Arabidopsis thaliana: one gene and its partners. The protein of the gene in region 2 interacts with the protein of the main gene of each other region in a pairwise test. Each region holds a gene or a part of one and is shown on either strand. Other genes may lie near its edges. The genes, in order: BLH3, KNAT3, GAI and BLH5.

Evidence for each region.
Region 1: the proteins of KNAT3 (region 2) and BLH3 interact in binary tests that used the Arabidopsis thaliana proteins (3 or more experiments, as listed by UniProt).
Region 3: the proteins of KNAT3 (region 2) and GAI interact in binary tests that used the Arabidopsis thaliana proteins (3 or more experiments, as listed by UniProt).
Region 4: the proteins of KNAT3 (region 2) and BLH5 interact in binary tests that used the Arabidopsis thaliana proteins (3 or more experiments, as listed by UniProt).

The regions. Positions count from the first base shown.
Region 1 is NC_003070.9:28,297,072-28,305,848, reverse strand, and holds BLH3 (BEL1-like homeodomain 3), read left to right. Parts: upstream 1-3,120; 5' UTR 3,121-3,446; exon of another isoform or gene 3,447-3,898; 5' UTR 3,899-3,958; coding exon 3,959-4,696; intron 4,697-4,774; coding exon 4,775-5,151; intron 5,152-5,228; coding exon 5,229-5,289; coding exon of another isoform or gene 5,290-5,328; exon of another isoform or gene 5,329-5,355; coding exon 5,356-5,754; 3' UTR 5,755-6,063; downstream 6,064-8,777. Other genes in the region: AT1G75420 (UDP-Glycosyltransferase superfamily protein), read right to left, coding at 1-55, 143-380; AT1G75400 (RING/U-box superfamily protein), read right to left, coding at 6,385-6,411, 6,499-7,470, 7,569-7,600, 7,904-8,240. UniProt on the Arabidopsis thaliana protein: Transcription factor that is responsive of the nuclear import of SHOOT MERISTEMLESS (STM).
Region 2 is NC_003076.8:8,732,061-8,740,286, forward strand, and holds KNAT3 (homeobox protein knotted-1-like 3), read left to right. Parts: upstream 1-3,883; 5' UTR 3,884-4,147; coding exon 4,148-4,828; intron 4,829-5,103; coding exon 5,104-5,224; intron 5,225-5,312; coding exon 5,313-5,497; intron 5,498-5,574; coding exon 5,575-5,706; intron 5,707-5,784; coding exon 5,785-5,921; intron 5,922-6,015; coding exon 6,016-6,055; 3' UTR 6,056-6,541; downstream 6,542-8,226. Other genes in the region: AT5G25230 (Ribosomal protein S5/Elongation factor G/III/V family protein), read left to right, coding at 7,649-8,226.
Region 3 is NC_003070.9:5,147,231-5,155,374, forward strand, and holds GAI (GRAS family transcription factor family protein), read left to right. Parts: upstream 1-1,751; 5' UTR 1,752-2,183; coding exon 2,184-3,785; 3' UTR 3,786-4,185; downstream 4,186-8,144. Other genes in the region: AT1G14930 (Polyketide cyclase/dehydrase and lipid transport superfamily protein), read right to left, coding at 5,235-5,515, 5,619-5,805; AT1G14940 (Polyketide cyclase/dehydrase and lipid transport superfamily protein), read right to left, coding at 7,545-7,825, 8,096-8,144. UniProt on the Arabidopsis thaliana protein: Transcriptional regulator that acts as a repressor of the gibberellin (GA) signaling pathway. Transcription coactivator of the zinc finger transcription factors GAF1/IDD2 and ENY/IDD1 in regulation of gibberellin homeostasis and signaling.
Region 4 is NC_003071.7:11,635,260-11,643,358, reverse strand, and holds BLH5 (BEL1-like homeodomain 5), read left to right. Parts: upstream 1-3,821; coding exon 3,822-4,256; intron 4,257-4,442; coding exon 4,443-4,822; intron 4,823-4,998; coding exon 4,999-5,059; intron 5,060-5,579; coding exon 5,580-6,053; 3' UTR 6,054-6,253; downstream 6,254-8,099. Other genes in the region: BSL3 (BRI1 suppressor 1 (BSU1)-like 3), read right to left, coding at 7,177-7,260, 7,339-7,478, 7,575-7,710, 7,991-8,066.

The DNA of each region.
Region 1 (8,777 bases), on a different chromosome or scaffold from region 2:
TCAGCACCAACTCCTCTTAACAAAAACGCCAATTCCATCAATAGCAAAGGTCCACCTTTTGTCACACAAAATCAATCATCACCTCAAAAAAGTATGATTTTTTCGAGAACCCAGATCAAATTAGAAATCAAATCAGCAGAACCTGAGAGTGATAGCTCGTGGGATACTAACAAAACGAGCTTCGATTTCATGAAATCTAGAGGATTCGATTGAAACTTCGCGGCGCTGCTTTCTCCATTCTTTTCTTCCACGAATTGGCTACTAATGCTACAGGTTTCAAAGCTAGATCTCACGAGAATCATACACACTGTTGATACAGATAGAAACAACAAAACCATCAGTGCCCATCTCTTCCTTTGCATCGTCGACGCTTTGACCATTGTTTTCCTTTGCTAAAGACACATCCTAAGGTTTTCAATAGTCTAGATCTTCGCAAATGACTCGTCGAAACTAAGCTAAAGATCTCAAAAATCAAACCTTTGAAAATCAAATTCGAGACGAGAATGGGCAAGAAATTGGATCTCTGAGTAGAACTGTAAAGTGAGTTATACTGAGAAGAACCTTGAAAGAAAATTTTGATCTTTAAAGGTTTCACAGTGCACGCCGTTATTGGAAGAACGTCTTGCCGTTTTTAATCCCTCTGGGCCACTTAAACCCGCATATTATTATGGGCTCTAAAAAGGCAATTATGTTCATTAACATAGAAACTCCAGTCTCCACTTTTAGTTTGTATCACGATTAATGAGGTTTAAGATACTAATGACTTTCACATCTCATGCACTGAAAATTTACTGTGTGCTACGTTATTTTATGTTTTGAAAATGTATTTTCACTGGTGGAATCAATCTTTATGGCAAGAACAACAATATTTCCCTTGTTAGTTTAAATACAAAATATTTATGATCATAAATTGTGGATCGTGCATATATAATTTCTCAAACGCTATACAGATAGAGACTTGAGTGTAACGCAAAACTCATATTAATCTGTGAACTGTAGTATTACTATTTACCTGGGAACATCTAATTAACCGTACCATAAACTCTTACTTTGTTGCCATTTACATGTAGTTTAACCAGATTGCTCTTGAAAATAGGAAAAACTCATGTGGTTAAACGGTCCGACTATTTATGATTAACAACTGCGATTAATTATATCTTAAGGATATTAATTATTATTAGCTGTCATACCATATAGCTAGGTGTACAAAAAGCTTTTTGTCCAAACAAAAGCTGTTGATTTCTTACTCGTCATTTCCTCATTTAGCACTATCATCATCACTCATCATCGATTCATCATCTTCTTCAAATTATATACTCACGATATGTATAATATTATTATTCATAAGAATACTCATCATAAATAGCTTTAGAAAACCACATTCATTTAACCTATTTTAGAAAGTTAAAAATATTTGATCCTTTCAAACTTTCCCACTGTATATACTCCCATATTCAACCAGCTGTGTGTAGGGTTTATCAGTTGTACATTTAAAAACAAACAAATAATCTACTCATAAATATATAAAATTTCATAAAAAAAGAATTTGTTGTAACACATTGATTCTCCTTGAAAGGTTTGTGTCGGCTGTTCCAATCTATGACAAAACCGAAACTCAACCAAAAACAAAAAAAAACATTAAAGAATAAAAGAAATAAACGAAATATACAGAAATTGAAATAAGAATAACATTTATTAAGATGGACACAAAGCCGTTAGCTTCGTTCCGTTAAGGAACGTCTCTACGAAACAAATTGGCGTCCAAGTCTTTCGTTTTTGGCCACTTTCACCAACTTCGCGTCCGACACAGCTACCTTATTTATTTCATTTTTCATCATCTTCTTTCGAATTCTACTTTTTCTATTATTTATTACACAACCTCCTTAGATCCTTTGGGACATGGAATCGACCCATCATAACTTTTCTTTTCATTTTATTGTTTTGCGTATAAATACATTTTCTTCATGTAGGTCAAATGAATCACTTGATTATTTAAGAAAATATGTTTATTTGTTAGTCAACTAATTGGATTTTTTCGTTCCAAGTAAGGAAATTGGGTAGTCACCAACTGGTTGTTAAGGTCCTTTAATCCCTCAATTAAGCAATTGAGCAGACACAACACTTCTTCCTCAAAGCAACATTTCTGGCAAATCAAAATTCTCTAGGCCTAGGGATACTTTAGTAATTTTAATTACTTTATATTCAATATATTGATTTGTTGACAATTCTACTTATATCTTTATTTTTAATATGTAAATAATAGGAAGATATTGAAAAAATGGAGTTAATTAGTTTCCTCTTTTGCACGTCACTTAATAAGAGTATGTGTGTCCAATGTATTACGCGAAGAAACAAGTATATAACGTATAAACAGTAGGAGACCTCAAAAGATGTTTAATTTTAATTTTGATCACAATCTTTTTAGAGAGTTCCGTCGTTATAATAATTTAACAATTATACATCAAAACATCATAGATTAGTTATGAAGTATCATGTCACGTAACACATGTTTCTCGTTCGCTTATAACCAGGGATCTGCAATTATGTAAAGAAATTAATAAAAGCATCTGTTGGTTCAGACTAACCCATGATTTTATCATCACAACCACAACTAATTTGAGATTGCTTGAGTTAATTTAATCTAACAAAGCTTTGGTGGAAAATTTTAATAGTAAAAAATTTCAACGGTTGCTTGAATTTATGTCCAAGCTATTAATTAAACTTTATAAAAACATAGAATACGAAAACTCAACTCTTTTCTTCATTTTAAAAAACATACTTTATTTTTAATTATATTTATTTGAATATAAGCACCAAGTCAAGTCAATGACAACACTGCACAGTATTCCTTCTGGTTCCAATAATATTCTTTTGTTTTATCAGATAACTTGAAATATAAATGCATATAAAAAGTCGCATTTGTATAAATATTCTCCATTATCTAACAATAATCCTATCAGAGAAAAGGAAAAAAAATATGAAAATTTCCGCTCACGCGTGTTATTCTCTAAATGGTTGGCACAGAAAAAAAACCAACAAAAAATTATTAATTTTAATATAGAAGCTTCGGTTGGAATAGAAAAACAAACAAAAAAGAATTACTGGTAGAGAATAGAGATTGTCAAATTTCTCCATAGGTTAGTGATACACTGATATTTTATTAAACATTAATTAAAAAATCTGGGTTTGTTGTCGAGGTTCCAATGATAAGATGGTTTGGTTCTGTTCTTTGTTAGTGAATGCCAAATAAAGTTTTAAAATAGTATCGGAATTTAATAAAAATCGTCTCTTGGGATTGGGTGTCTTCTCTTTCTTTCTCTCTCTTTTTGTCATCGACTGTTCGAAGTTCTTCTTCTTCTCCCTTTTTATCTCTCTGTTCCCTGATTCAGCCACATCCACAATCTCTCTTTCTCTTTTGTATAGTTTATCATCTAGCTCTTTCTCAGGTTTCATTTCTTTAACTATAATAATTCGATTGTTCTTATTAGTAGCTTCTTGATTCAAAGCTATATGATTGACTTGTTGTACTCTGTTTCTCTTTTTACAAAAAGATTTCCTTTTTCGAATTTTATCATCATCTTCGTCTCTGTTAAATTCTTACAAAAGTATGAAATCATCAGAACTTAAAAAAAATTAACTTTATATCTTTCATGATTTCAAACATCATCCTCTGTTTTTGTTTGCGTCACTGAATTGAAGTGGAAACTTTACCTAGGGTTTTGATATCTTCTTGACCTAAATTGAGTATTTCATATTTTTTTCATTTCTTGAATTCATCTGTAATTGCGGCGTATATAGAGATTAAGATGTTTTAACCTCTTTAAAGAATTGTTCTTTTATTTATCCAGTTTCAGTTTCAAACTCACACGTCTCTCTCTCTCTCTTTCTCTTTTTTCAGACAAAACATCAATCGGATGAAACTCACTTAAACAACAAAACACTTTCGATTTATTATCCAATGGCTGTGTATTACCCTAATAGTGTCGGCATGCAATCTCTTTACCAAGAATCCATTTACCTCAACGAACAACAACAACAACAACAACAAGCTTCTTCTTCCTCTGCTGCATCTTTCTCCGAGATTGTTTCCGGTGATGTTCGAAACAACGAGATGGTATTTATCCCACCAACAAGCGACGTAGCCGTCAACGGAAACGTAACGGTGTCAAGTAACGATCTAAGCTTTCACGGTGGAGGACTTTCTTTAAGTCTTGGTAATCAGATCCAGTCAGCTGTCTCTGTTTCTCCGTTTCAGTATCATTACCAGAATCTTTCGAACCAATTGAGTTACAATAATCTTAATCCTTCTACTATGTCTGATGAGAATGGGAAGAGCTTGAGTGTTCATCAGCATCACTCTGATCAAATTTTACCTTCCTCTGTTTACAACAACAATGGTAATAATGGTGTTGGATTCTACAACAATTACCGTTACGAGACATCAGGGTTTGTGAGTAGTGTACTGAGATCTCGTTACCTTAAACCAACACAACAATTGCTTGATGAAGTTGTTAGTGTAAGGAAAGATTTGAAATTGGGGAATAAGAAGATGAAGAATGATAAAGGTCAAGACTTTCACAATGGGTCTAGTGATAACATTACAGAAGATGATAAATCTCAATCGCAGGAGTTGTCTCCTTCAGAACGTCAGGAGCTACAGAGCAAGAAGAGCAAGCTTTTAACAATGGTGGATGAGGTAAGACTAAATCAAATTTGAATACTTTAAAGTGAGAGAGAGACTTTGGAGTTTTGAGTTTTGAAAACATTTTTGCAGGTAGATAAAAGGTATAACCAATACCATCATCAAATGGAAGCTTTAGCATCGTCTTTCGAGATGGTAACAGGTCTTGGAGCAGCTAAGCCTTACACATCCGTAGCTCTGAATAGAATCTCTCGCCATTTCCGCTGTTTACGCGACGCGATAAAAGAACAGATTCAGGTGATCAGAGGGAAGCTTGGGGAGAGAGAGACTTCTGATGAACAAGGAGAGAGGATACCGCGTCTTAGGTACTTAGATCAACGGTTGAGACAACAGAGAGCTTTGCATCAACAACTTGGAATGGTTAGACCAGCTTGGAGACCACAAAGAGGCTTACCTGAAAACTCTGTCTCTATACTTCGAGCTTGGCTCTTTGAGCATTTCCTTCATCCGTAAGTTTGTTGTTTGTAAGACACTTTCTTTCTGCTCCTCATTGCTTCATTGATAACCATTTCAATCGTTTTTGTAGATATCCTAAAGAATCAGAGAAAATCATGCTTTCAAAGCAGACAGGACTATCGAAAAACCAGGTTCTTATTGGCTCAATCTTTGGTCTTGCTTTTATATGAGTGGTATTCTGATTCTTGGCAATTTAGGTTGCAAATTGGTTTATTAACGCGAGAGTTCGACTATGGAAACCAATGATTGAAGAGATGTATAAAGAAGAGTTTGGAGAATCAGCAGAGTTACTCTCTAACTCTAATCAAGACACCAAAAAAATGCAGGAAACATCTCAGCTCAAACACGAAGACTCTTCGTCTTCGCAACAACAGAATCAGGGAAACAACAACAACAACATCCCATATACATCTGATGCAGAACAAAACCTAGTCTTTGCAGATCCTAAACCAGACCGTGCTACTACTGGAGATTACGACAGCTTGATGAACTATCATGGGTTTGGTATTGATGATTACAATCGTTACGTTGGCCTTGGAAACCAACAAGATGGCAGATATTCTAATCCCCATCAATTACACGACTTTGTTGTCTAAAAGATTCCTGAGCTTTTCACAAGCTTAAGAACTGGCAATGCCAGTTGATTGGGGGAGTATGATTCTTGAAGCGCAAGAAAATGCGCTCTTGGCATTTTTATAGATAGGGGTTATACAAATATGTATATCTGTAATATTTGTTGTGGCATATATAAAGGATAGATTTTGTGAAAACTTTAGGTGTTAGACTTTACATTTGTATATGAAAATTGAGCTTTGTGTACACTTTGGTAAGCCGATATTGTAATGTTTTTGTTTATAATCTTCATGATGGTATAAACAATACTTTTAAGTGTGAACAAACTGAAAAAGATTTGATCTAATTTCCTCATTTTGTTACAAGAATTGGAACAGATTTTGAGTTCCTCTGAAACTTGTGTAAACAACGAAACGTTACACAACTTTTTAAACATTCTCTGTAAATGGTTGGCAAATTCTCAAATCTTTTCTAAAATGACAAGTTTGTTTCATTACTGAAAATTATCCCCACAGGTTACAATGAAACACACAAAATATCCAAAAAGAAAGTTAAAACACAGCTCTAAAGGCTATAGCTGAACCTGAATATCTGTTTTATACAAAGCTTTCCTAAATAACCCGCATGCCTCTGATCCAGATGGAGGGGTTTCATCATAGCGGAGATGTCTGATTAAGTCCCTGAAATGTGTGTATTATTGGTTATTTACAGGAATGTTTCATTTCTCTAGCAAATCAGGATTGAATATTCAGTGTATGGATCTTTACCTCTATGCTTGAAGAAGACCGGTTATTTCGATGTCTAGACCAGAATCCCTTCTTCAATGCAGAGTCTTTGGACGAGGGTTTATTCCACTTGGAGCTGATAGAAGCAAAGTGCCATTTCAAGAATGACTTATTAGACGAGCTCTTGCTACTGCAACTAGCTTCCAGCTTGAGAGCTTTGCCTTCTCGTTTCCCCATTTTCTGGAATACAAACTCATCGCATTCACTCTCACCGTAACTATCTACCACACGGTTTTTACATCTTTTGTACTGCTTTGCCTTTGCTTCCGCCTCCGCTTTTAGGGCTTTCCTTGTTATTTTCGCAACCCGTTTCTCCCCAATTGTGCATATGGGACAAGCAGGATCATACTTCTCTATATCAGTAGTCATGGTCTCTAAGCACTCTGCGTGGTAAACATGACCACAGGCAAGAACAGCAGCGATTGGGAGCTCAAAAGTGGCTATAGAAGACCTCTCGGTTAGCAACTTTGAACAAGCTCCACAAACCTGCTGATCAACAACGGAAGGGGAGAATGAGAATCTGCTGCTACCACCACTTAGTTTCCGTCTGCCAGAACCCAAGTGTTCGCTATCAAAGGACCATCTATCCCTTTGAGAATATGCCACGAGCTCAGAAAAAGTGTTCATAGACCAGCCACCTTCAGAAGATGCGTACTGGGATCCAGTGGCGAAGTCATTGCTACAGGTCGAAAGCACAAAGGACGACCTTCCTTCTGAGATTGAGTAATTATTAATTGGGGATTTCAGTCCTAAAATTTGACTATCAGAAACCTGCCTAAACAACTGATGCCCAGGTGAACGCCGAGCCCGTCTTGATGGTGTGGATTTAGGAGGAAGCAAACGCGTGTGAGCCGATGAAAGATCACTAACTGGATTGGGAAGAGAAGGCGTGGAGAACAAAGGCTTCGATTGAGCTGAAGGGACAATTCCAGGTGAGTCAACTAAGTTCTTCACCTGAAACAATGAAGATCCAACAAGGGTTAAAGATACACCGAAGGAAAGAAAAGAAAGCTTCCACGAGAGGAACACTAGAGTCAAGTCGATCATCTCACCTCAATGAGATCACTGCTTGCCAAGGATGAACCTGCCGCACAGAAAAGCATAACATAAGACACAGCAGGAATACGATACGCAAGACTAATTCATTACAATAACATGGTTCTTGGTGACAAAAAGGAATATAGTCATTAACGTTCAACTTAAAAATCCCTATGTCAACTATATCTACTCAACACCGTGAAGAGATCATGAAAACTAGCAAGCTTTACTTATACACGTTGGTGGAACGAAAAGATTCAAGGAAAAAATTAAAACGACTCAAAGCAAAGAGTTAGATTACAGTCAGAATTAGCTCCCAATAGTGTCATTGTCTCAAAAAAAGAATTACCTGAAGAAGGTGGAACCATGGAATTGGTGCTCATTTCCGGAGTTGCTGATTTCTGAGAAGCAGGAGTCCCTAAATGTCCATCAGGAGGGGTTCCTCCTTCAGATAAAGTTCCTCTCTCAGAGCCTAATGACATCTTATCCATACTAATACCTCTACTCGCAACATAAGGACTGTAATAAGGTGAACCCTCAATCTCATCAGCCACTCGCCTCCTATTATCACGTCGAAAACTCCATTGTGGCGAACATGCTGAATTCCGATGAACAGATGAACTCGCAGGTCCACCACTAGGAGGAACCTTTCTGTCTTTCACAGCTACACAACAAACTGAACCCATAACCTTACACAAGAACTATTCTCTTCTCTATCAGACGATCTCCAATACTCTGCTTTAACTTAACACAACTTCCAAACAAATTTGCACGTCCTTCCTCACACAGTAACCCTGCAGTAAGCACACAAGACTCACTTCAAAATCGATAAAGCTTAAGAAACCAAAAAGATCTGAAGTTCTTATTAAAAAAAAAAAGCCAAAACGATCTGAGATTAATCATTCAATGAAAAGCTCCTACGAGAGAGGAGATAAACCGAACTCGGAAACTCAGGACCTGAATAACTGAGTCAAGACCAAGGAACACGAATTTCATCAGAGAAATGATCTAACAAATACACAAGCAACAAGAAATCAACCTACGATTTCTAATTCAATTCGCAATCATCACCACAGGAGAAACCGATATAGTAGATTAGATTCAAAAACATGGGCCAGGTTCTCACCAGAACAACGAAAGGTTTCGGGGAAAATCAAAACACGAAACGCGTATACGAAAGGGCATACGTAGACGGAGAAAGATCCTCTCCGGCGATGAAATCA
Region 2 (8,226 bases):
TCCAAAGTCCAAGGTCTTGACGCGTGTCCTCTGTCTTTTTTGGCCCGCGAGTGTAGCGACGTGATTTATGGTCCCCTCATCTCTCTCTTAATTTTTTTCCTTCATTACCGGCTATTTCCGGTTGATTGGTTTATGCTAACCGGTTTTATCCTCTGTCGCCGTTAAATAGAGGGAAGCTAGTTCGGTAATAATTGTGATTAGCTTCTCACTAATTTATACTATGGTTAAGCAGAATTTTTAATGCGGTTGATACATAACAAACGAAATTAATATTGTTGATGCATCTAGGTTATTAGGTTCGATTCTTATAACATAATTTAGTTTTTCATGTAAAATTATTTTTCGTGGTTAACTAAAACCTTGAGTTGTCTACCAAAAAAGAAAGAAAAAGTTAAGCATAAGTGTATAACCTTAAGTTATGGACTTATTATGGGTATGTGGAGGGGAACGTAGTTTCTAAAATTGTTCATCAATATTGCATATATTGATTTGTTAGTTATAAACGGATAGTATTTTAGTGATGATATAGGAGAGAAAAACAAGTAAAGATTTTTGGGAAATCATAAAGAAAACAAATGGGTATTAGTGTATGACAAAATTAAAAAGGTTAGAGAGGGATGTCAAAAGTGATTAAGAGATAAGAAATCTTCGAAGTTGATTGGTTCTTTTTTCGACTTCAATCAATACTTCTCCTTTTTGTTGATGTTGTTCTTCACATACACACTTCGTTGTTTTTTCTTTCATTCTTATGTAGTTTTTAGTATTTGATTTGAGTTATCTTCTTCTTTTTGTTTTTGTATTTCTCATGTTAAATTATTCATCTCTTATAATTATAAATACTAGTGAATGATTAGTTGAAAATAAAATTTACATTACAAATAAAAATGTTATTACGACAAGCAATTGATTTAATTTAATTTATGAATATCTTTTATTTTAGCTGATTATGATTTTCTGACGCTCCTCGGAGTGACGTGGAAATCACGCTCCAACATTTACGGGGGTTGTTACGTATCGCGTCGCTTTAGATTTGTGGGTTGCTTATTGTTTAGGGATTGTTTATTAGTTTTCCGGTTACTATCCATTTGCATCCAAATAACTCAATAAACCTAAGTATGACTCACTTGTAGGAATATTCAGTAGATGATGGAGAATATTTCAATAATAAAACCATTTCTGACTAGAATTAATATAAATCAATAGAAGGACGTAAACATCACTCAAAAAATGATGATCGATATTAGAAGAAACTGTAGTGGGTACCAAGAAAATTAAACATACTTGTCGTCGGCACAAAATATTTTGGATTGTGAAACTATAATGCCTTGTTTTAGAAAGATGTGAGAGAATATAAAAAAACTTATGTGTTATTCAATTATAGAGAGATGAAATTCACCATATAAAACTTACATGTGTTATCATCAGTAATTACAATTATACACATCAAGAAAATTTCTATATTTTTCTAACTAGGAAAATTGTACTTCAACTGTTGATTTCATCATTGATCTAGAATATCTAATTACTTTTACTATCGTACATATTAAAATCGGAGATATGATGAATCGAAAAGATTAAAACTATATAAATTTTTATTTTTGTAAACTTTCCTACATGGACATACATTATACTAAAATTATATAATATGTAATGTATGATCGTGCATGTTTAAAATTCAGCGTTTCACACGTGTAGTTTGGGACAACTTCGGCGTTTTTTTGGTTGAGTAAGATGACATGTGGCTCGACATTCATAACTATTGTGAATAAAATAAATTGATTTATGTAATGATTGGACACATTTGATGAAGTGGTTTCTTGAAAATAAGACTTTGGATGGATGCAGTGTGGACAAACCGGTATAATTTGTTTGCGGTTTAGTTTATCTGGCAGACAAAAAACCGTTGCAGACCAAGTTTATTTGTATGTAAAAATGGTCTGCAGATGGTCCGTTGCGGTTTTCTTCTATTTTTTTTAGATCACTACGAACTATAATTAATAAATAATAAATAAAAAACGGTATGATCCGTTGACGGTTTTATCCGCCCCAACCGCCATAACCATTCAAATCCTAAATAAAAACGGTTTTGATAATATAAGAACCAGCCCAAAGATGAAGTTATATATGTGACTATGTTAACACACATTTATAGTATGAGTTAACCTAGACCTATTTGCGTCTCACTTCTTATTAAATGCTAAAAATTTACCAAAAGGACGCTATTCATCACAATTAAGTTTAAATCTCTAAATTAATTGATCGTTTAAGTTTTTAACCAAACTCAAATAAATAAAAAAATATACGATAACTTTTATTGTGACGATCGAATATACTACCATCAAATTTTATACCAAATTTCTGTTTCGTAGCATGTACGAAAATTTTCACTCCAAAAAAAATCTAAAAATTATATTTACCAAAAACTGTGATTTCAGAAAATTATGTGATTTTAAAGAACCAGTGATTTCTCAAATTATATTATATGAAATGATTATTATTATTTTAAAAAGGTGAAAGGGTGAAGCAAAAAAATAGTGTGCATAAACAAATAAGCTAATTTGTTTTCTGGTACTTAGGTCTTTTAAATCCATATAAATAAATTCTTAAAAGATTGTTTTATTTCAAATCTTTAACCTAAAATTGTAACTTTAAATTCATGATTAAATTTTTTGTTTTCAATAATTTCTCGTAACTTCATTACATAAAACGAGAAGGATTTATAATAGGTAAAGGCGTGAAGCAAAAAATAATTGTATAAATAAATAAGTTAAATTTGTTTCATAGTGCCATAAAATTACACTAACATCTGAACGTGAAACGCACGCGCTTCTTCATATCATAGATACGTTGCGTCTTAAAACACAACACGTAGCAACTCTTTTTAAAAAGGAAAAATACATTTATTATTCCCAACAATAAAAAAAATCAAACACAGTCGAAGAAGGCAACGACCTTTCGCAGCCGTCAGATCTTAATAAATACAGTCGCCACTAAAATTTAACGACATAGATCGAACCATGACGACCTACTTTCTTTAATTAATTTTCTGTCGTGACCTAATCTTCTATTTGTTGTTTCATTAGTCACTTACTTTTATATTTATTCTTTCTTAGGTCTATGTGGACCAAAGTGATTGGAAAAGAAAAAAAAATACATTTTTGTCAACCATAACTAAATTATCTTATTTTCTCAAATGCACTGTTTATTATGTAGCGTACTGATTTATTAAATACTTTTGCTTTCTATGGTTAATTTATGATGTCGGATTTTTATCTTTCCCCCAATAATAATATCACTATAGAAGAAAGTTTACAAATTCTTAGTTAAATCAAAAAAGATTTTATCAGTTGATTTGATTATACGAGGTGACATCAATTTTTGTCTTCTTTAACAAAAAAAATCAATTTTTGTTTTCTTTAACAAAAAAAATCAATTTTTGTCTTACTTTTTAATTAGCATTTAGAAAAATATTTAACAAATAAAAGTTCTCATAAGCGATTTTTAAAAAAATGTTTTGTTTTTACTATCTTTCAGTTTTTTTTTTTAAATTAATTTTCTAAAAAAACACATATATTAAAAAACATATTAAAACTAATTATAAACATATTATCTTTTGTGATTTATATTTTTTTATAATTCTAAACCAATGATATTCAATTATTTATCTTAAAATTAAAAATTTATCAATAATAACTAATAAATAATGTATAGAAAATTTAAAAATTATTTTTTTTAAAACAATTTTTTTCCTCTAAAAAATTAAATAATAAGGAATAGAGAAGGAATATTTTTTTATCTAATAAATTCCATATAATAATTCAATTATATTGATAAATAGGTTGCAAAAAATAAGAAAGAATAAATATGAGAATAAATGGTCATCTCTCGATCTCTCAGCTCTGTGCAACTCTGAACACACCCACACATATATACTCAGATACATACATACACACCACAAAAACCAATTATTTTCCAATTTTAAGAAAAGTTTCTGTGTCTTTTTTTTTTTTTTTGGTGATAATTGAAACATATGAAACAATCGTCGTCATAGAAGCAGCAGAGATTCACCTTCTTTCTTTATCTTTCCCTCTCAGAAACAGGAAACAAAATTCAAAAAGAACAAAAAAAAAAAGGTCAAACCAAAACGATGGCGTTTCATCACAATCATCTCTCACAAGACCTCTCCTTCAATCATTTCACCGACCAACACCAACCTCCACCTCCGCAACCGCCTCCTCCTCCTCCGCAACAGCAACAACATTTCCAAGAAGCACCGCCTCCTAATTGGTTAAACACAGCGCTTCTTCGTTCCTCAGATAACAACAATAACTTCCTCAACCTCCACACAGCCACCGCTAACACCACAACCGCAAGCAGCTCCGATTCTCCTTCCTCCGCCGCCGCCGCCGCCGCTGCTAACCAGTGGCTATCTCGCTCCTCCTCTTTCCTCCAACGAAACAACAACAACAACGCTTCCATAGTCGGAGATGGGATCGATGATGTCACCGGAGGAGCAGACACTATGATTCAGGGAGAGATGAAAACCGGCGGTGGAGAAAACAAAAACGACGGCGGAGGAGCTACGGCGGCGGATGGAGTAGTGAGCTGGCAGAATGCGAGACACAAGGCGGAGATCCTTTCGCATCCTCTTTACGAGCAGCTTTTGTCGGCGCACGTTGCTTGTTTGAGAATCGCGACTCCGGTTGATCAGCTTCCGAGAATCGATGCTCAGCTTGCTCAGTCTCAACACGTCGTCGCTAAATACTCAGCTTTAGGCGCCGCCGCTCAAGGTCTCGTCGGCGACGATAAAGAACTTGACCAGTTCATGGTATATAAATTTCAGATTTTTTTGTTCTATAATTTTATAATTAACGATTTCATAATTATACTTAGCACAAATTTTAATAATACACACCGACTTAGGTTTCTTGATTTTTGAAATCTTAAAATATTAAAATCAAGATTTGTGTTTTTAGGGATAAACAAGACTAAAATCCCAAAAAAAGAGCTTATGATATAATAATGGTCATGATGATGAAGAAAATACAAATTTTGTTCTTTGTGTTTATTGTGTGTTTGATTAATGTTTTTTTTATGGTGTAGACACATTATGTGTTGCTACTGTGTTCATTTAAAGAGCAATTGCAACAACATGTGCGTGTTCATGCAATGGAAGCTGTGATGGCTTGTTGGGAGATTGAGCAGTCTCTTCAAAGCTTAACAGGTGAGAAAATGAATCCTGTGATTAGCTCATGAATCCAATAGTTAGTTTTATGACATTGACAAGTTTTGTGTTTTATTGGTGAGATTAGGAGTGTCTCCTGGAGAAGGGATGGGAGCAACAATGTCTGACGATGAAGATGAACAAGTAGAGAGTGATGCTAATATGTTCGATGGGGGATTAGATGTGTTGGGTTTTGGTCCTTTGATTCCTACTGAGAGTGAGAGGTCGTTGATGGAAAGAGTTAGACAAGAACTTAAACATGAACTCAAACAGGTAATAATCAACAAACTTGTTCTTTGAACTAGTTCATGAACTAACAATGTAGAGGGCTTTGTCTTGTTGATGAAAAGGGTTACAAGGAGAAGATAGTAGACATAAGAGAGGAGATATTAAGGAAGAGAAGAGCTGGGAAGTTACCAGGAGATACCACCTCTGTTCTCAAAGCTTGGTGGCAATCTCATTCCAAATGGCCTTACCCTACTGTGAGTTCACTCATCTAACATCTCTTTATAACTTCTTCAAGTTCATTCATTGAGCCATAACCAAATATTGGTTTGTAGGAGGAAGATAAGGCGAGGTTGGTGCAAGAGACAGGTTTGCAGCTAAAACAGATAAACAATTGGTTCATCAATCAGAGAAAGAGGAACTGGCATAGCAATCCATCTTCTTCCACTGTATTGAAGAACAAACGCAAAAGGTATTATTATACTTTAATATAGTCTTGTAACATAACCGAAAAACTTATGGATCGGACTCAAAGAAGACTGAAACTTTTGTTTGTCTGATGAAAGCAATGCAGGTGACAATAGCGGAAGAGAGCGGTTCGCGTAGAAACAACAAACATATGATGTGAATTGGGGAGGTGGAAGATGGGATTTGAAAGCAGGGTTTTAGGGATTTAAAGTTGAGAATTTTATGGAGGAGTTTGGATTATACAGAGAGAGGGGACAGTATTAGAAAGTAACTTTTTGTGCAATTACATAGTAACGTAGTTTGGTTATGTGATTATGCCCATATATTTTATTAAGTAGCACACAAACCAAAAAGAAAATATGAAAACTGAAGATGCAGGCTTTTGTTTAATGTTTTTTGTTTGTTTGTCTGCATGAGTTTTTTTTTTATGAACCATCAGATAATCATCATCATCATCCATAATATATCTTGTGAATAAAGATAGTGAGAGAGGAGAACATTGGGATGCACAAGTTTTCTTAATCTACTAGTATATGTTACGCATTGACCAGGTGCATATGTTAATTTGTATCGCACCACTTGGTTAGCTTAATCTATGTGACTATTATACAGTATATGTTTCGCATTAACCGTACTTAACCCATCTTATGATTCTTATCCGCTTAGTTCGTAGTATTTATTGCGATGTCACATTCCAACTCGTGATATTGGCTTGATAAGTAAAAGACATTATACATGGTAGATGACGACAAAAAATAAAACATACCCCATCTTACATAACGTAGCTTGCTGCGTACTTTTGTAATTGTAATAATTTGAAACGTGTTCTTTTTTCTAGTCAAAATTGTTTGTTTATCCTCATCTTGTTGTTTCGTTTGTCACGTTTGTGATAGCCACAAGTTACTGTAAGTTTTCGGCGAGATTTTTCTATCGATCACGGAGAGATTCTGCACACATTAACAAAGATAATTAGAGTGTCCTTAAGTATTTTGGTCGCCTCTCTATTAGAGGACCATACAAAGTTCAAAGACTAGTCTCATGAGAAGCCCATTAGTACATTAGATTAAATCTAGGAAAGTAGATTCATATAAGTAGTTTTGTAATGAACATCAAAGTTGTTAACTTAGAGAATTGTCATTTGGATTGTATAAATGGTTTGATAAACGAAGTCTAACATTAGTATGTGTTAGTCTTCTAAATTCAAATAATAATCGGAGTTTTGGTCTCTTGGACGATGCTTCACAGTGATATTCAAAAGTTTACCGTTATCACCCACCAACTAGAGAAGCCAAATTAGGTCTTTTACCAACTGTAGGGTAAAGAACTGTCTTCATGTAATCATTATAACCACCACCATCTTGTTATGCTTTGTTTCTTCTTCAAATTGCAGCTTTCAATATACAACCCGGTTTACGTTCTGGTTTACACTTTAGACGTTTCAATTTACAAAATTGGGCCGATTGACAGATATTGGACCTGGCCCATCAATCTAAAAATGCGCTATTTTGAATCAAAGACCTATTTAAATCTTCCGACGACGACTCCGTTCACATAGCAGAAACAGTGGCGACAAACCCTATCACGGAGCCAACCCGCATTTTCCTCTAGCTTTCGCACCGCCTCTCGCTCTCTCGCCCCACCGGTTCGTCTCTGACATTTTGTGCTTGATTTGGCCGTTACAAAATTCTGATTGCTAGTTCATGAGATTCCTTTTTGACAGGTGACATAAAGATGGATGGTAGCTTGTATGGTGAGTGTGGTAACTATATTGGACCTGAGATTGAATCTGACAGAGATAGTGATGATAGTGTAGAAGATGAAGATCTCCAAGAGCCTGGGGGTTCTAATGGCTGGATTACCACTATCAATGAGAACCAAAATATTGTTCTTCCTGAGGATAAGAAGTACTACCCTATTGCTAAGGAGGTTTATGGTGAGGATGTTGAGACCTTGGTTATGGATGAAGATGAGCAGTCTCTTGAGCAACCCATTATCAAACCCGTTAGAGATATTAGATTTGAGGTGGGGGTCATCAAGGATCAAACAACAACGTATGTGTCAACACTGTTTCTTATCGGCCTCATGTCTAATCCTGCGCTTGTGAGGAATGTTGCTCTTGTGGGGCATCTCCAGCACGGCAAAACTGTCTTCATGGATATGTTGGTAGAGCAGACGCATCGTATGTCTACTTTTAATGCTGAAAACGACAAGCATATGAGATATACGGACACAAGAGTCGATGAGCAGGAGAGAAATATATCTATCAAGGCGGTTCCAATGTCTCTTGTCCTTGAGGACAGTAGATCCAA
Region 3 (8,144 bases), on a different chromosome or scaffold from region 2:
TCATTGAAATTTGTTAAGAGACACTTTTTTCACTATTTCAAAAAGACTCAAACAATCTTGTAAACCCAAGTTATTCTTCCTTTTTTTTTTTGTTCCAAAAATGCCTAGTATTTCAAGAATTCAGTAATCCAATTTTACTTGTTTAAAATTGGCTTGTTTATGTAATTAACATATATCACGACTTGTATTACTTCTTTAGAAAAAATAATGTTTGGACTAAAAAGCAGACTAAATATTCATTACGAATGATGTGACACCATTTTCATTTGTTAGCTTCTACTACTATAAAAAATAAATAAAGGAATCAATGAGTGCACCTTTAATTTTTTTGGTTAATCAACGAGAGCACTTGATATCAAGTATGACGATAACCAATCAAAGTAAAAAACTTTGGATGTCTTTTTCTCTTTGCTAGTAAATTAATAATTATACCTACCGAATTTGTAACACATTACACATTGACATGGTGCATGTTTAATCCAATACTATCGACGTCACTCTATACTCCGTAAGTAATAGTATATATACATTGAAATGATCCATTATACCATCTGATAAATTTTTGTGAAGTGGCTAAAAATATAAACAGTTTTTTTTTTTTTGTGAGAAAATGATGTAACGGAGCATAATTATTCGTGGAACACAAGAACATGTAACCAACCATGTAGCACAGCGTTAATTGAGATGGTCCATACGAAGAGCCGTCAACGGTGGGAATGGTCATCTCAATTCTCATCAGGGCCTAGCGTATAAAAATACTTTAGAGACGTGTAATAATCACATGGGATCTTTGGGACCACAGTCTAAATGGCGTACGGTAAGTTCAAGGGACCCGTTTTACACGTGGACCCAATCACATGTTGTCAGTTCTGATTTTCACGAAAATAATTTCGAATATTTTTGTAAGACATTAATTAGTGGGACTAATTGTTATTTTCTGATCTGTGTAATCTTATTATGATTTAAGAATAGTTGCCGTAAGCGACGGCGTTAAGTACATACTACAATTGTATTAACCAATTTTATCTACAAATAGCAAAAAAAATCGAGACTATACTTTAAAAAGAAACGATTACAACTTAACTCTATCGTAACATGTAATTGACAAAATAGTGAATGCTATTTAAGTGTAAAGACTGAATGCTACTATTTGATAATTACTGTTATTTTGAAATGGGTTTATATATACTGCAGTTTACTTTTCTACCCCCTTGCTCGAAACATGCCTACATTATTACAAAGGGGAAGGCTAGGGCACTCAAACAGTATGATGAAAGCTTTTAGTTCCCCATCCAAAGAACAAATATAAAAGTCTTTTGTAATTAATGAAAATGTTACTAGTTCTTATCCACTCTTACAGATAAATACTAATAAGGTTTAATTTTTTTTTTAAAGATCTTATAAAAAATGTTAGAAAAGGAGCTTTTTCTTATATTCAATTTAAATTTTTTAACAATTTAAAACTAAAACGGGAAAACGTCATAGTCCCTCAATCTCTTTTTAATAAAATGGAATATTAATTTCCATAATGGGTTTAATGATGGTTTACTTTTCCCAATACAAAAGTTCCATTTTATTTAATAAGACTATACTAAATACTTAAACTTTTTAATAAAAAATATCTGTATTTTAGATCAAAAGTTACAATCACACAAAACCAACACAACAAACTCCTTAAAAAAGCGACAAAAAGTAAATTGTACCACTAGTTGCATGACAATCTTTTTAGTTGTTCAAAATTGTATGACCATCTAAACTCTAAAGTAATACTAACTTTAGAAAATATTAATCTGTAAAAAGCTATATATTCCCTAATATATTAGTTTATTAATTTCAATATATTCCCTAATTACAAATTTTGGTGTGTGTGTGATTTTCAGCCTTATCTCTTTGAGCTGTAGATGTTGCTGTTAGCCCTCTGATCCATGATTCATCGGACATCGAGCCCCATCACGAGCCTTTTTATTCTCAACAATAATAATCATTTTTTTTCTTATAACCTTCCTCTCTATTTTTACAATTTATTTTGTTATTAGAAGTGGTAGTGGAGTGAAAAAACAAATCCTAAGCAGTCCTAACCGATCCCCGAAGCTAAAGATTCTTCACCTTCCCAAATAAAGCAAAACCTAGATCCGACATTGAAGGAAAAACCTTTTAGATCCATCTCTGAAAAAAAACCAACCATGAAGAGAGATCATCATCATCATCATCATCAAGATAAGAAGACTATGATGATGAATGAAGAAGACGACGGTAACGGCATGGATGAGCTTCTAGCTGTTCTTGGTTACAAGGTTAGGTCATCCGAAATGGCTGATGTTGCTCAGAAACTCGAGCAGCTTGAAGTTATGATGTCTAATGTTCAAGAAGACGATCTTTCTCAACTCGCTACTGAGACTGTTCACTATAATCCGGCGGAGCTTTACACGTGGCTTGATTCTATGCTCACCGACCTTAATCCTCCGTCGTCTAACGCCGAGTACGATCTTAAAGCTATTCCCGGTGACGCGATTCTCAATCAGTTCGCTATCGATTCGGCTTCTTCGTCTAACCAAGGCGGCGGAGGAGATACGTATACTACAAACAAGCGGTTGAAATGCTCAAACGGCGTCGTGGAAACCACTACAGCGACGGCTGAGTCAACTCGGCATGTTGTCCTGGTTGACTCGCAGGAGAACGGTGTGCGTCTCGTTCACGCGCTTTTGGCTTGCGCTGAAGCTGTTCAGAAAGAGAATCTGACTGTAGCGGAAGCTCTGGTGAAGCAAATCGGATTCTTAGCCGTTTCTCAAATCGGAGCGATGAGAAAAGTCGCTACTTACTTCGCCGAAGCTCTCGCGCGGCGGATTTACCGTCTCTCTCCGTCGCAGAGTCCAATCGACCACTCTCTCTCCGATACTCTTCAGATGCACTTCTACGAGACTTGTCCTTATCTCAAGTTCGCTCACTTCACGGCGAATCAAGCGATTCTCGAAGCTTTTCAAGGGAAGAAAAGAGTTCATGTCATTGATTTCTCTATGAGTCAAGGTCTTCAATGGCCGGCGCTTATGCAGGCTCTTGCGCTTCGACCTGGTGGTCCTCCTGTTTTCCGGTTAACCGGAATTGGTCCACCGGCACCGGATAATTTCGATTATCTTCATGAAGTTGGGTGTAAGCTGGCTCATTTAGCTGAGGCGATTCACGTTGAGTTTGAGTACAGAGGATTTGTGGCTAACACTTTAGCTGATCTTGATGCTTCGATGCTTGAGCTTAGACCAAGTGAGATTGAATCTGTTGCGGTTAACTCTGTTTTCGAGCTTCACAAGCTCTTGGGACGACCTGGTGCGATCGATAAGGTTCTTGGTGTGGTGAATCAGATTAAACCGGAGATTTTCACTGTGGTTGAGCAGGAATCGAACCATAATAGTCCGATTTTCTTAGATCGGTTTACTGAGTCGTTGCATTATTACTCGACGTTGTTTGACTCGTTGGAAGGTGTACCGAGTGGTCAAGACAAGGTCATGTCGGAGGTTTACTTGGGTAAACAGATCTGCAACGTTGTGGCTTGTGATGGACCTGACCGAGTTGAGCGTCATGAAACGTTGAGTCAGTGGAGGAACCGGTTCGGGTCTGCTGGGTTTGCGGCTGCACATATTGGTTCGAATGCGTTTAAGCAAGCGAGTATGCTTTTGGCTCTGTTCAACGGCGGTGAGGGTTATCGGGTGGAGGAGAGTGACGGCTGTCTCATGTTGGGTTGGCACACACGACCGCTCATAGCCACCTCGGCTTGGAAACTCTCCACCAATTAGATGGTGGCTCAATGAATTGATCTGTTGAACCGGTTATGATGATAGATTTCCGACCGAAGCCAAACTAAATCCTACTGTTTTTCCCTTTGTCACTTGTTAAGATCTTATCTTTCATTATATTAGGTAATTGAAAAATTTTAATCTCGCTTTGGAGAGTTTTTTTTTTTTGCATGTGACATTGGAGGGTAAATTGGATAGGCAGAAATAGAAGTATGTGTTACCAAGTATGTGCAATTGGTTGAAATAAAATCATCTTGAGTGTCACCATCTATAAAATTCATTGTAATGACTAATGAGCCTGATTAAACTGTCTCTTATGATAATGTGCTGATTCTCATGAATATGCTCTTTTAATGTGCATGGTATTATAGGTGGACCAGATTATTTTAACAATGCTAAGTCGTTTTCAGTTTTCTTATTTGTTAATTTGAAAGAAGAAAAGTAAACAAAAGAAACCGAAAAGATACAAATGTCCACCTTTAATACATGTATCTGAAAGATATAGTAGGCGATTATATATGTCACCTAAAAAAAAAAAAGAGTAGGCGGATTATATTGTTCAACATCAACTGCACATAAATAATTCCACATATGTAAAAATGGGAGATGTTGATGTTCTTCGTAAATAAAAGACTGAAGTTTTTTTTTTTTTTTTTTGACAGCAATTGAAGTTGGTTTACGAACTTGTTTAAGAGATAAAAAAACATTCGACAGTGGTGGTAGTAGACTAGACTTCACTCGTGACCCTTTGGTATTATATAGTTGAGTGACTGTGACATTTGATCCTTTGTGATGTATAAAAAGGGCACGAGGGCGGTTTGATGGTTGATTATAGTCAACTTTTGCTACCCCACATATATGGGCCGAATAAGTGCTAATGGGCCTTAGTAAAAATCCCAAAACAAGTAGAAATGGTTCAGAAAAAAAGATAGCAACTTTGAGGTGGGAATTGGTCAATTGGCAAAACAGAGGGTTCTAAAATCTAGGGTTTATACGTTCTATAGAAGGGAGAGGAGGAGACGTGAGAGTCTTTAGGCGGAAAAATATATTTGCATATTTACTTTTGTATGTGTTTGATTTTGTTTCAGAATTATGGATATTTTGGATTTTGGTTAATCAATCTCTCTCCCCTCGTGAAAAACTTTCTTTATCTATTTTGATGAAATTTTTATTAGGAGATGGATAATGAGAGTCATGAGACTAAATGACTAACATACATCCGCTTTATATCTTACACAAAATCGTATAACTAACACACTTATTTTATTACGAACACGCATAATAACATCACAGACAGAGATGGTATACATAAGCATACAATACAATTGCTTAACAAGACCGCCATTATTATTAGCATAACATGTAAAGGCGGATGATAAAGGCACTTACGAGACAAGTACAAAAGACACATGCATGAGGATGATTTACGACGATGACCATGGAGGGTTATTAAGCTTTGTTCTGGCCCTTGAGGATGTGGTCATCCATATCAGCAACTAAGCTCTTGACAAACTTCATGTAGTTGATGGGTTCGGGGGAGTCTTCGTTGCGATTCTCCCATATCAGAGTGACTTTGCAGACGCAGCCTTCGTTCGACTTGGGAATGAACTGTAAGATAACCTCATACTTCTTGTACTTCTCCATCACATGACCCTCTAGTCCTCTGAACGTCAACGCCATCTTCTCGTCGTCTATCTCTCTTTTCTCCTTGATGACTTCCGGCTTCCCATCTTCATACACACACACACATTTTTAGTCCACATTAGAATATATAGATATCATCCAATCCTCGCGTGTTACCAAACACAGAAAGAGATAGAGTAAAGTATGGACCAAGTGTGTAGTTCCAGGATTTGATGGAGCCGTGGGAGTCCCAGTCGCCATCGTGGACGGTGACGCCTTGGACATGGTGGCCGATGGCGTCCGGGAAGAGATTGTTTTGGCTCCTCCATCGCCTGTAGTGTTTCTCCGCCGACCCTTTCAGCGGTACTTCCGCCACGTATTTTCCTGACATCGCCATTTCTTGATTGATTGTTTTCTTTTGAAATGTGTCAAGTGTTTTATTCGATGGAAAAACCCAAGTGTTGCGCTTCCTTTATATACAAATTAAGACTCACCACAACACTAACAAGAAACGAAATTATGGCGATAAAGATTTAATTATAGGTGGTTTATATCTTTTAAACTATAAGATAAAGATTTCATTCGTTTAACATTTGCTAAATCCTGAATATGAAATGCTTAGTCCATCCGTACCATTTTAAGTGACTTTTAACCAAATAATTGTTTTATTTTAAGTGAAAGTTAAAGAAATGTATACGTAAGGATAGTTTGTAAGCGCTTGAATATAAGGTTTGAATTGGTTGGAATATGTCATTATTAATAGATAACACATAACAGATTATTAACTGGATAAAAAGAAGCAAGAAAAGTAGGGCGAAATAGACGGGCAAGAGGGTTTTGCGTTATTTAATGACCATAGATGTCATAGTGATATGCTCCACATGTGTATCCCATGTGTCGTCATGTCCAAATTACCTCACACTTATAGATTCTTTGAACCTATTTTTGTTTTGTTTTGACACAAGCACCCTTTTATGTTATAACCATCGACTTAAGAAGTATCTTTAATTTACATAAAATATGAATATATAACAACTGAAAACTGTCCTTCAATTAGATACGAAACGTGTCCATCAAAATTAGTTATGCATATATTGATATTCCCACATATGAATCAATGTTGGAATTGGATTGATCCGAGTTTATGATAAAATGTGGGATTAATGATTATCCAATATATATTAGTATTTTGTATATAATATAATTAAGAATATATGTAGAGTGTTCAGGTTTTATAAGTTTTTTAGTACGTATTAGAATAATCTATTTAGGGTATCTATGTTTAGTTTATTCTTTCTTTGTAAAAGCTGCAGATTGTTATAGATTTCTAAATTTCAGTCTTTACTTGGTTATCTTTTTTTGGTCATATCGTTCGTACTTCTTAATTATCACACCCACATGCATGAATATTTCAATATTCCCCTTTTTTAGTTAAAAGACTTTACGGTAAACGAGAATAATTTTTTTACGATCTTGTATAAGACGTTTATTATGACGATCATAGTGAATATGCATTTATGAGAATCTCAATGTGATATATGAAAAGAAAAGGAAACCTAGTATTAAACATTAGCACTGCATGGTAGGGATCATATTGTTTCCATGAAGACTACTTTGAGATGAATTAGTCACTTCGTTGAGATGAAACGTTATAATTATACCAACTTCATAGTGTTGCGAGTCCAATCATCAAACAAATTAAGGAGTGATCGCATAAATCACATTGAGATTCTCATAAATGCACATCCAAAAATTATACAAGAGATGATAAGGTTGGAGCAAAATTAAATTGTCAATTGATCTGCTTCTTGAAAAGGTTACCTATTTTAGTGAAGATACTTATGTGATAGATAATGACGATTGAGGGTATATATATACATCCTAATATTATGGGCTATTTTACGTCTTACAATTACTATTTTATTACGAACACACACTTACACCACGAAAACATCATAACAACATGTAATCATCAAACAGAGATGATACATAGGCTTCCAAGACCGCCATTATTATTAGCATAACATGTATAAAGGGGGAAAGAGGCGGATGATAAGTCACGTACGTACGTAAAGATACACAAAAGATACACACACATAAAGATGAAGACCATTCGACGATGACCATAGAGGGGATTCAAGCTTTGTTCTGGCCATTGAGGACGTGGTCGTCCATGTCAGCAACTAAGCTCTTGACAAACTTCATGTAGTTGATGGGTTCGGGGGAGTTTTCGTTGCGCTTTTCCCATATGAGAGTGATTTTGCAGACGCAGCCTTCCTTCGACTTGGGAATGAACTGGTAGATAACCTCATACTTCTTGTACTTCTCCATCGCTTGACCCTCTAGCCCTTTCAACGTCAACGCCATCTTTTCGTCGTCTATCTCTCTCTTCTCCTTGAAGACTTCCGGCTTTCCATCTTCATACAAACACACACACACACAATGCTAGACCAAATTAGCCGATCGTCAATCCTCGTATTACCAAACATGATTAAAGAGAGTGGACACCCGGTGTCGGTAGCCCTACTTTGAAACTCTTGGAGGAGAGTTTGAGAAGGTTCGAGGCCTAGCTACCAACATCTGGGAGAGGACTTATCTACCTTATTCCTTGGCCCCAAAAAATATATGGACCAAAAATCTAAAACTACCAAAATACTACAAAAAAAGAGAGAAGGTAAAGTAGAGACCGCATGTGATATTCCATGATCTGATGGAGCCGTGGGAGTCCCAGTCACC
Region 4 (8,099 bases), on a different chromosome or scaffold from region 2:
ATCATATAAAAAATTAACGAATTGTTACAACGTGAAAAATATGAATTTTATACAATAAGATTATTATAATTATGCAGATTTGATTTCAAAGATTGTATAATTATGGGAAGATGATAACATTATTATTAAAAGGTAACAAAATATTTAACGTCAAGAGCAAATGTGATATAGGGGTATAAAGGTATTTTCATGATGGAGAGAGAATGTTGAACAGTTTTTTTTTCTGACACTAAATTTTGCAATCTTTCATGTATACAGATTGATAATACCCTTGTTTTATCCTTTCTAAATCTTCTAAGTAGAGGTATTGGGTTCGAACGTCCATTGGAGGACATCTATTTTCCAAAAAAACAATTAACCTGATGTGAATCCCATCTCTTTGGAAGTCGTTGTATCTTCGGGATTAAACTTCCGAATATTCAAAAAAAAAAAGAAAAAATGTCAAAATCTGTGAAAATTATAAGGGTATTTGAATATTTATCTGTTTCATGAAAATTGATTTGTTTTAGGATTTTTATGTTTAAAACATTGATTTTTATATTTTCTCAATAAGTAGATGACTACTCACATTTTGCGTGGGACATACTTTATAAGATTGGTTGATTTGATCTTTGAGGAACTTAGAGATTATCTGACAATATCTCGTTATCAGATGACACAATCAATTACCTCACAATAGAGATTCCATAGGTCATGGATCGTCATTGACCAGTTTGATAACTAATGCATGAAATTAAAAGTAATGCAAATTAAAATTAAAAGTAATAACAGGGTCATAATATTCCCATTGGTGATGCAGTTTTTATAGAAATTTTGGAATGAAGTAGTGTTTAGATTCACTAGATATCAAATAAATTTCGTTGTGAAAGAGTTTAGGGCTTGGAAAGAATCTAAGTAGATGTGTCAATTAGACTATGAGGTTAGAGACTATGACGAAAAAAGTTGAGTTCGGGCAATGTGTCAAGTAGATGGTCATTTTGGAAAAAAAGTTTATCTAGAGATAGCCACGAGTCTGGGATTGATTCTATCACAGTCGGGTGACCGTACAATATTAGAGTAGGAGCAAAATACTATAGAAAGATTTTACCTCTTCAAGTTTTGCAAACGACAAGTGATTAAAAAGAATCATGTTCAATCTCTTAAAACATCATTTGAGTAACAATAAGTCAATACGCAAAAGGTTCTTATAAGATGACAAAGTAATGAATTGTTTCCATAATGGCTAACTAAGATTAGAAGTTGCATGATAATGCAGTCCACACGAGATGGCTACTTTTTTCAGACCTACTTCTTTTTACTTTATTTTTTACGTTGCTCTAATGGCGCTTTTAATTAGTAATTTAAGCTTTAATTAGCTTTATAACTCAATCTTAACGTTTTAATGATGATCTTTGATCAGTTATGATGGTTTTGACAAAGTAAAGAATACACTTGTCATTCTCTGATTCCAACATGGCTTTAGATTAATTCATGCTAACCCAACTTTTTCAATACCCTAGTGGAATGTCCAAGTCATTCCCTTAATATCCCATCAGTATTTTGTTTCACTTACCTTATGATATAATCAACAGAATATGTTTTCAATGTTATCGTGTCCAAAGTTGAGTTTTAGTGCTATATTTTGTGGACCAACCACAAATATCATCAAAGAAACTTTGGTTTTGAAATTTATTCTAAAGGTCATAAGCTTTCAGAGAAAACAAAAGCATAAAATTATTCTCTAGATCAAAATTTTAAATATATTCAAAACTCATTTTTATTACCTAGCTAAAAATTCACTTGGTCTATACAAAGAACGTATAGTTTGCTAAGCCGTTTTTAAAAATTCGAACAAACATTAAACAGCTGAAAACCAAACAGTAAAAAGAACGTATAGTTTGCTAAGCTGTTTTCAAGACGATTAGAAATATTATAAATATAATCTGGATTTAGTTTCGGCTTTTAACATACAGTTTGTTTCACTTCACTTTTCTTTCTTTCCTCATCCTAGTTAAACTTTTATAACACACTTTTTTAAAGTTGTATTGCATTGTCTTTTTCTTATTTGTTTTTACAGTTACTTACTCTCGGGACGAATGGCGAATTGACACAAATCCACGAATGTAAATAAATAGCAATGTCGCATTATACTTAATTGATCTAAAAAGGAAAAATACTATTATCATAAAGTGAAAGATATAAATACAACTTGGATCTGACCGACACGATGAATTCTCATACACAGTCTCAATCCACCAAACTAAATAGTTATTATCACATTCAATAATAGAAAAAAAATTGATCTCAACACATATCGCGATATCAATTAAGATACGTCTAGCTTTATTTCGGTGTGTGATGGGAAGCTTTCCGAGGAATACAGGCAGATAATGGCATCACCAAAAAATAATGTCTAAATGTAATCTATTAATAAAATCCAAATTTTATATTAGTATTCGAAATTATTTTCTAGATACATTACTATGTCAAAATGTGTTTTAACTATGGATGGATGCTTAATTCGAAGAGTAATGAATTTCCGGGAATTGTGGACCATGTGGTCTATTTTCCAATGTACCATTACTATCTTCAAACACAAGTACTGACAACACAAAGAAAACATAAGAGAAAATATGATTTAGAAAACTATATGAAAGGAATAGGGAAATTTTGAAGATAAAGGCGGAACCAGGCAAATAAACTTTATTTATTTTGGCTGATAAATTTTTAAACATAGATTTGCATTGCAATACAGTTAATTAGTTGTTTAGTTGTGGAAAAGAAGAAAAAGAGTGACTTGTCGCAAACTAATATGGTTATCTAAATACATAAAAGAAGACTTTTGATGTGTGGAGTGGAAGTAGACGTTTCCTCGTTCTTCAACTATCTCCATGGTTCTGCTGACCCACTTCTATTATCTTTTCACATACATTTAACTATACACATATACATAGATTCATTGTAGATTTTAATTTAGTAATAATAATACAATATACTAATAATAAATGTTGACCTACTAAGTTATTCATGTAGGGATCATATAGATGCGTTGCCAAATATTAAACGTGCGGACATCAAATGATAAGACAATACTACCATCTGTAATATATTTTTCTCGTCAACAACCATTAATTAAAATCTTATTTCACCTATAGTATACAAATGGTAAAACGAATGACAATGATAGAAGTGTGATCGTAAAAATATATATATGGTAGCTATACTTATTCTTAGATAGATTGTCTCGTAGATCTACATTTGCGACCACATTGAAATTTTTTAGCTAGGTTGGATATTGGGTGTGAATCGTGCCTAAGATGCAAGTGAGAAATATTGGATATGTAGCAGTAGCATGCCGTGCATATATCATGTATGCTAGAATTGGTGATTGGTCAAAATCCATTGAACTTCGAAACATCACAAGAAAAATATTAATCGTGAGTGTCACTGTTTAGTTGTCCAATGAGATATAAAAGAAAAAAGTACATATTTTTCCCATTTATGAAAAGTCCAATCACATTTTATTTATAAAGGCGACTTATTGGACTTTCTAGTTGACAGATCAATGAAGCAGAGGATATTTAGATGATCATCGCAAGCAGAGAGAAAGACACGTCGAAGAAGACAATGAGAAACTCACACCCATAATTTGCTGCTCATCATTTCTAATTATTAAATAAAAACGGTAATTTAATTTTCTTGATTTGTCACATCTTTATTTCATCATCTTTTGCTTACCTTTTCTTCCTAAGCTCTTGGATATTATTAATGTTTTAGATCGATTTATATTATAATTTGATATTTTCTTGAATTGCAAGTTTTGTTGCTTAATTGTCAGAATAATGGCTGCTTTCTTTCTTGGAGAATCTGAAATGAGAGAACACTCTTCTGATCTTTTTATGATGACTCTGAATCCGTTTCGCGAGCAGACAACGACCACTAATGCTCATGACGATCACTTCTACAACTTGTGCTTTGGTTCCCAACAATATAGACCTCGAGATGAAGTAGGTCATATAGAACAAGGAAATTCTTCCATCTCCACTTTTTCAAACGGAGGAGTCTTCAGGGCTTTGGCTCCGATCTACTTGAAAGCGGCTCAAGAATTACTCAATGAGATTGTCAATGTTGGAAACGGTAGCCACGGCGCAAAACAAGAGCGACCGGTGAGTAAAGAGTCCACGATTTATGGAGTTGAGGACATCAATGGTGGCTATAAGCCTGGCGTAGCTGCTTTGCAAATGAAGAAAGCAAAACTCATCTCCATGGGTGAAATGGTAACTTATTTATACCTACCTATATAATATGTGATACACAAATAATAATAATAAGATCTTTGTATATACAAACCAACCATGGTGATATATATAATGGCAATAAACTTTCTGTTACTTTGAGATCGGGACTCAAGTTCAGTCCATATATTTGGTTATTGCATGTTAAGTATTTGATACTTTATAAAGGTTTCAAAGATTGGTAAATTGATTTGGGAAATGAATTTGGTAAATTATACACAGGTGGAACAGAGATACAAGCAATACCATGACCAAATGCAGACTATAATCTCATCGTTTGAGCAAGCTGCGGGTTTAGGCTCAGCAAACTCATACACACATATGGCGTTACAAACAATATCAAAGCAGTTTCGTGCTGTAAAAGACATGATAAGTTTGCAAATCAAGCAAATAAACAAGCTCTTGGGACAAAAGGAATTTGACGAGCAGCTTAAGAAGTTGGGAAAGATGGCACATCACCATTCAAATGCTTGGAGACCGCAGAGAGGTTTGCCCGAAAAAGCTGTTTCCGTTCTACGCTCTTGGCTCTTTGAGCATTTTCTTCATCCGTAAGTAACGTTTTCTTCTATCTTTAATTCTTGTTACGATTATTGTCGATATATCAGAATGATGGGACCTTGAAGCAAAGGGAACTAACTAAGGATATGGAAGCTAGGATCATTACTTAGTTTTGTATAGACATGCATGCTAATGATTTAGTTGTGTCTTGTTTTGGTTTGTATAGATATCCGAGGGATTTGGATAAGGTAATGCTTGCCAAACAGACTGGCCTTACTAAGAGTCAGGTAATTGATTTCGATTATCAGAAGTTGGACATACTTAAGTTTCTTAATGTTAGATGTCTCATACATAGTACATATACAATTTCATGACATCATCTAACACCGACTATCAAGAATAAATAATCTACAGGTAAAACCGAATATATATATAGATTCAAACAAATTTTATTCCGATCAAAAAAATATTTTTAGAAAGATATCTCTTTATTTCTATTTTTTTTTCTTTTCGAGTCTGAAAACAAAAACGTACCCAAGAATTCTAAGAAAAGCAGGTAAACCAAATATATTTTGGTAAATTTATTTAGATAGATGATGTATATTTATTTTATTATAATTATTTTAATGAAAATAGCGATGATAGCATACGAGAAATATCATATATGTGATCCTTTGTAAAGTAAATCAAATTTATTTTGGTTAAATTAGTAATTATATATATTATGGAATACTTTCTTTTAGCACCCATGATTATATATAATCAAAATAAGTATTGTTAATAGTATCTTGTGTAAAATGGATGTAGGTGTCAAATTGGTTCATTAATGCTCGAGTTCGAATGTGGAAGCCACTGGTGGAGGAACTTTATTCGGAAGAAATGGATATTGAAGAAAGCAGAAAAGGAAGTGACCGGTATAGTACCAAAGGTTCATCTTCAAAGCAACCGTACAATAATACAACTTCAAATGAATCTTCGAACACGATCCTACCCGCCTTTCGTCAAGGATTCACTGAAACTGAAACCCCTAGGCAAAATTCATCCTCAAGTTGCAGCGTAGTCATGAGGTTCACGAAGCAACACATGAATCAAGCGAACTTCATCAATTTCAACGGAGGGTTCGAAAACTATCACACAATGGATGGAAACAGCGTCTCCCTTTCCCTCGGCCTGCCTCATTCTTGTGACCAAACCTTTAATAACATTCATTTTGAGTCAACAAGTCATGGAACTGAGAACTCGGCCATATATTCATCTTCAACTTATCAAATCATGGATTAGAAATAATTAGTGGGGATGATATATTTTCTGCTTGTTGCTTACGTATATTCTGTGTATAGTTTTGGCCCTTGGATGGTTTCGTATGGGTTGATGTGTGTAGATTGATAGAGAGGAGATGATTAAGTAAAGGTTATGATAAAAATGTAGATAACAATACTAAGCTAAAGAAATATATATGGTTTTCGATAGTCAGGTTTTAGTTAGTATTGTTACGTATGAGTGTAAATGAAGATCAGATCAACCGTGAGATCCATATTAGCTAATAGTTGTGACTTTATGAACGTGTATGTGTGTGTGTGTGTGTGTATGTCCCCAAAAACCCTAACTTAATCTCCCACCTCTTCTGTCTTTTTTCTAAAATTTGTTCCACAAAACAATGAATATATATTAGCTATAATTATTATTTTGTTGTTTTACATGATCATCTTAGTGACCTAACCACAAGTTAATTGGCTACCAAGAAGTTATGGATTTATTTATTTGAGTTGATTTTTTGTTTGTCTTCCATATCCAATTTTTTATTTTTTATTTTACAAACTAACAAAATACAGAAATGTTTTAAAAATGATGGTAAAATAAGAATATGATAGAAAAAATGGGAGAGAATATTTTCTGTATCATTAAACACACAAACCGTTGCTACAAATTACATACTGAAAAATATGAATGAAGACATTATACAAACGACCAAACACACCTCTCTATGATACATAAATACCCCAAAACTAAAACAACCTCTAAAATCCTCCTCCTACTCACTCTCCTGTTTGTGTCCCTCACCAAAAGTCCAATACCACATATATAATCAATACTAAGAAAAAAAGCAAAGTGAAGAAAATCAAATATATGAATAAAAATGAGAAAACCCCTTTTACAAAACAAATACTCTTCCTCCTCACTACTACTACAAATTCTTTACCCTTTCATCATCTGACTTGAATGAACTTAACCTGTGAAATTCTTCGATAACTCAAAACCCTCATTGATCCATCTCGTTGGTAAATAGCAATCGATAATTGAATGGTTTGGTTGGTTCTGTACACAACATGAGGATCACCTAGAGGCGGCTGTCAGGACTCGGGAGAGGTATGTTATCTCGCACTCGTCACTCTTTCTGTAGGGTTTATATCCAAGCAAGAGAGCCGCGGTCATTTGGATTTTGTGGGCGTCCTCTTGTTGGTGTTGGTGGTCTATTTACGTTTAACTCCTGCAAAATATCAATGCTTAGTTACGCCATTTTCCAGGTGGAAAAAGGAAGGCATTAGTATCTGTTTGAGATAAAAACCTGCATCCATGTATCCTCTATATGTCTTTCTGGTGAAGTTTCAGGTGAGGTTATCGCTGGAGGCAATGGATGGATAAGCTTAGGAACCACCACAAGATCTCTCCCCAACACCAAGATAGCCCCGGCATTGTTTGCGGTACCTGAGAAGGAATAAATATAGATCATTTTTTGTCAGAAACTATCAGATCAGGTCTTATTACCAGCTTAGGAGTGAGTTCTCGGTTCCATAAACATACCACAATAATTTGTTGCCGAAAAGAGCGTTATCAAATGACCTTGGGCAAAACGCTCAAATCCGTCCATCACGCATTCATGCGCACGTACAATCAATTGCAGATCATTGTTGTTGCAAAACTCCATGACACGGTCAGGCTGCAGTTGTCAAATTCTTGGTAAGTAATAGAACAGGCAGAACTACTTATGGAAGCGAAGTAGAATTATATTACTCAATATAATTGTCTAACAACAGCCCATGAATATGTCAAGGGTAAGGGACTAGCAAAATCAGTACTCTTCACACTTAGGAAGCTCAAAATGAGCGGAAAGAAAAGATCACTCAAGCTGATGTAATGGAGTATGAGGTGAGGAGGGGAAGGGAAAGAGAGCAGTAATCAATGCAAAGTGTACGAAATAGAAGAAAAAGACCACTCACCCCAAAAGTAACCAACCCAGGGCCTCTAGCATTGGGCCTTAAACCTTCGACACTGTCATTTTCAGTTGGATCCGACCTAACAGATTACAAGATGACATACTAGTGAGAC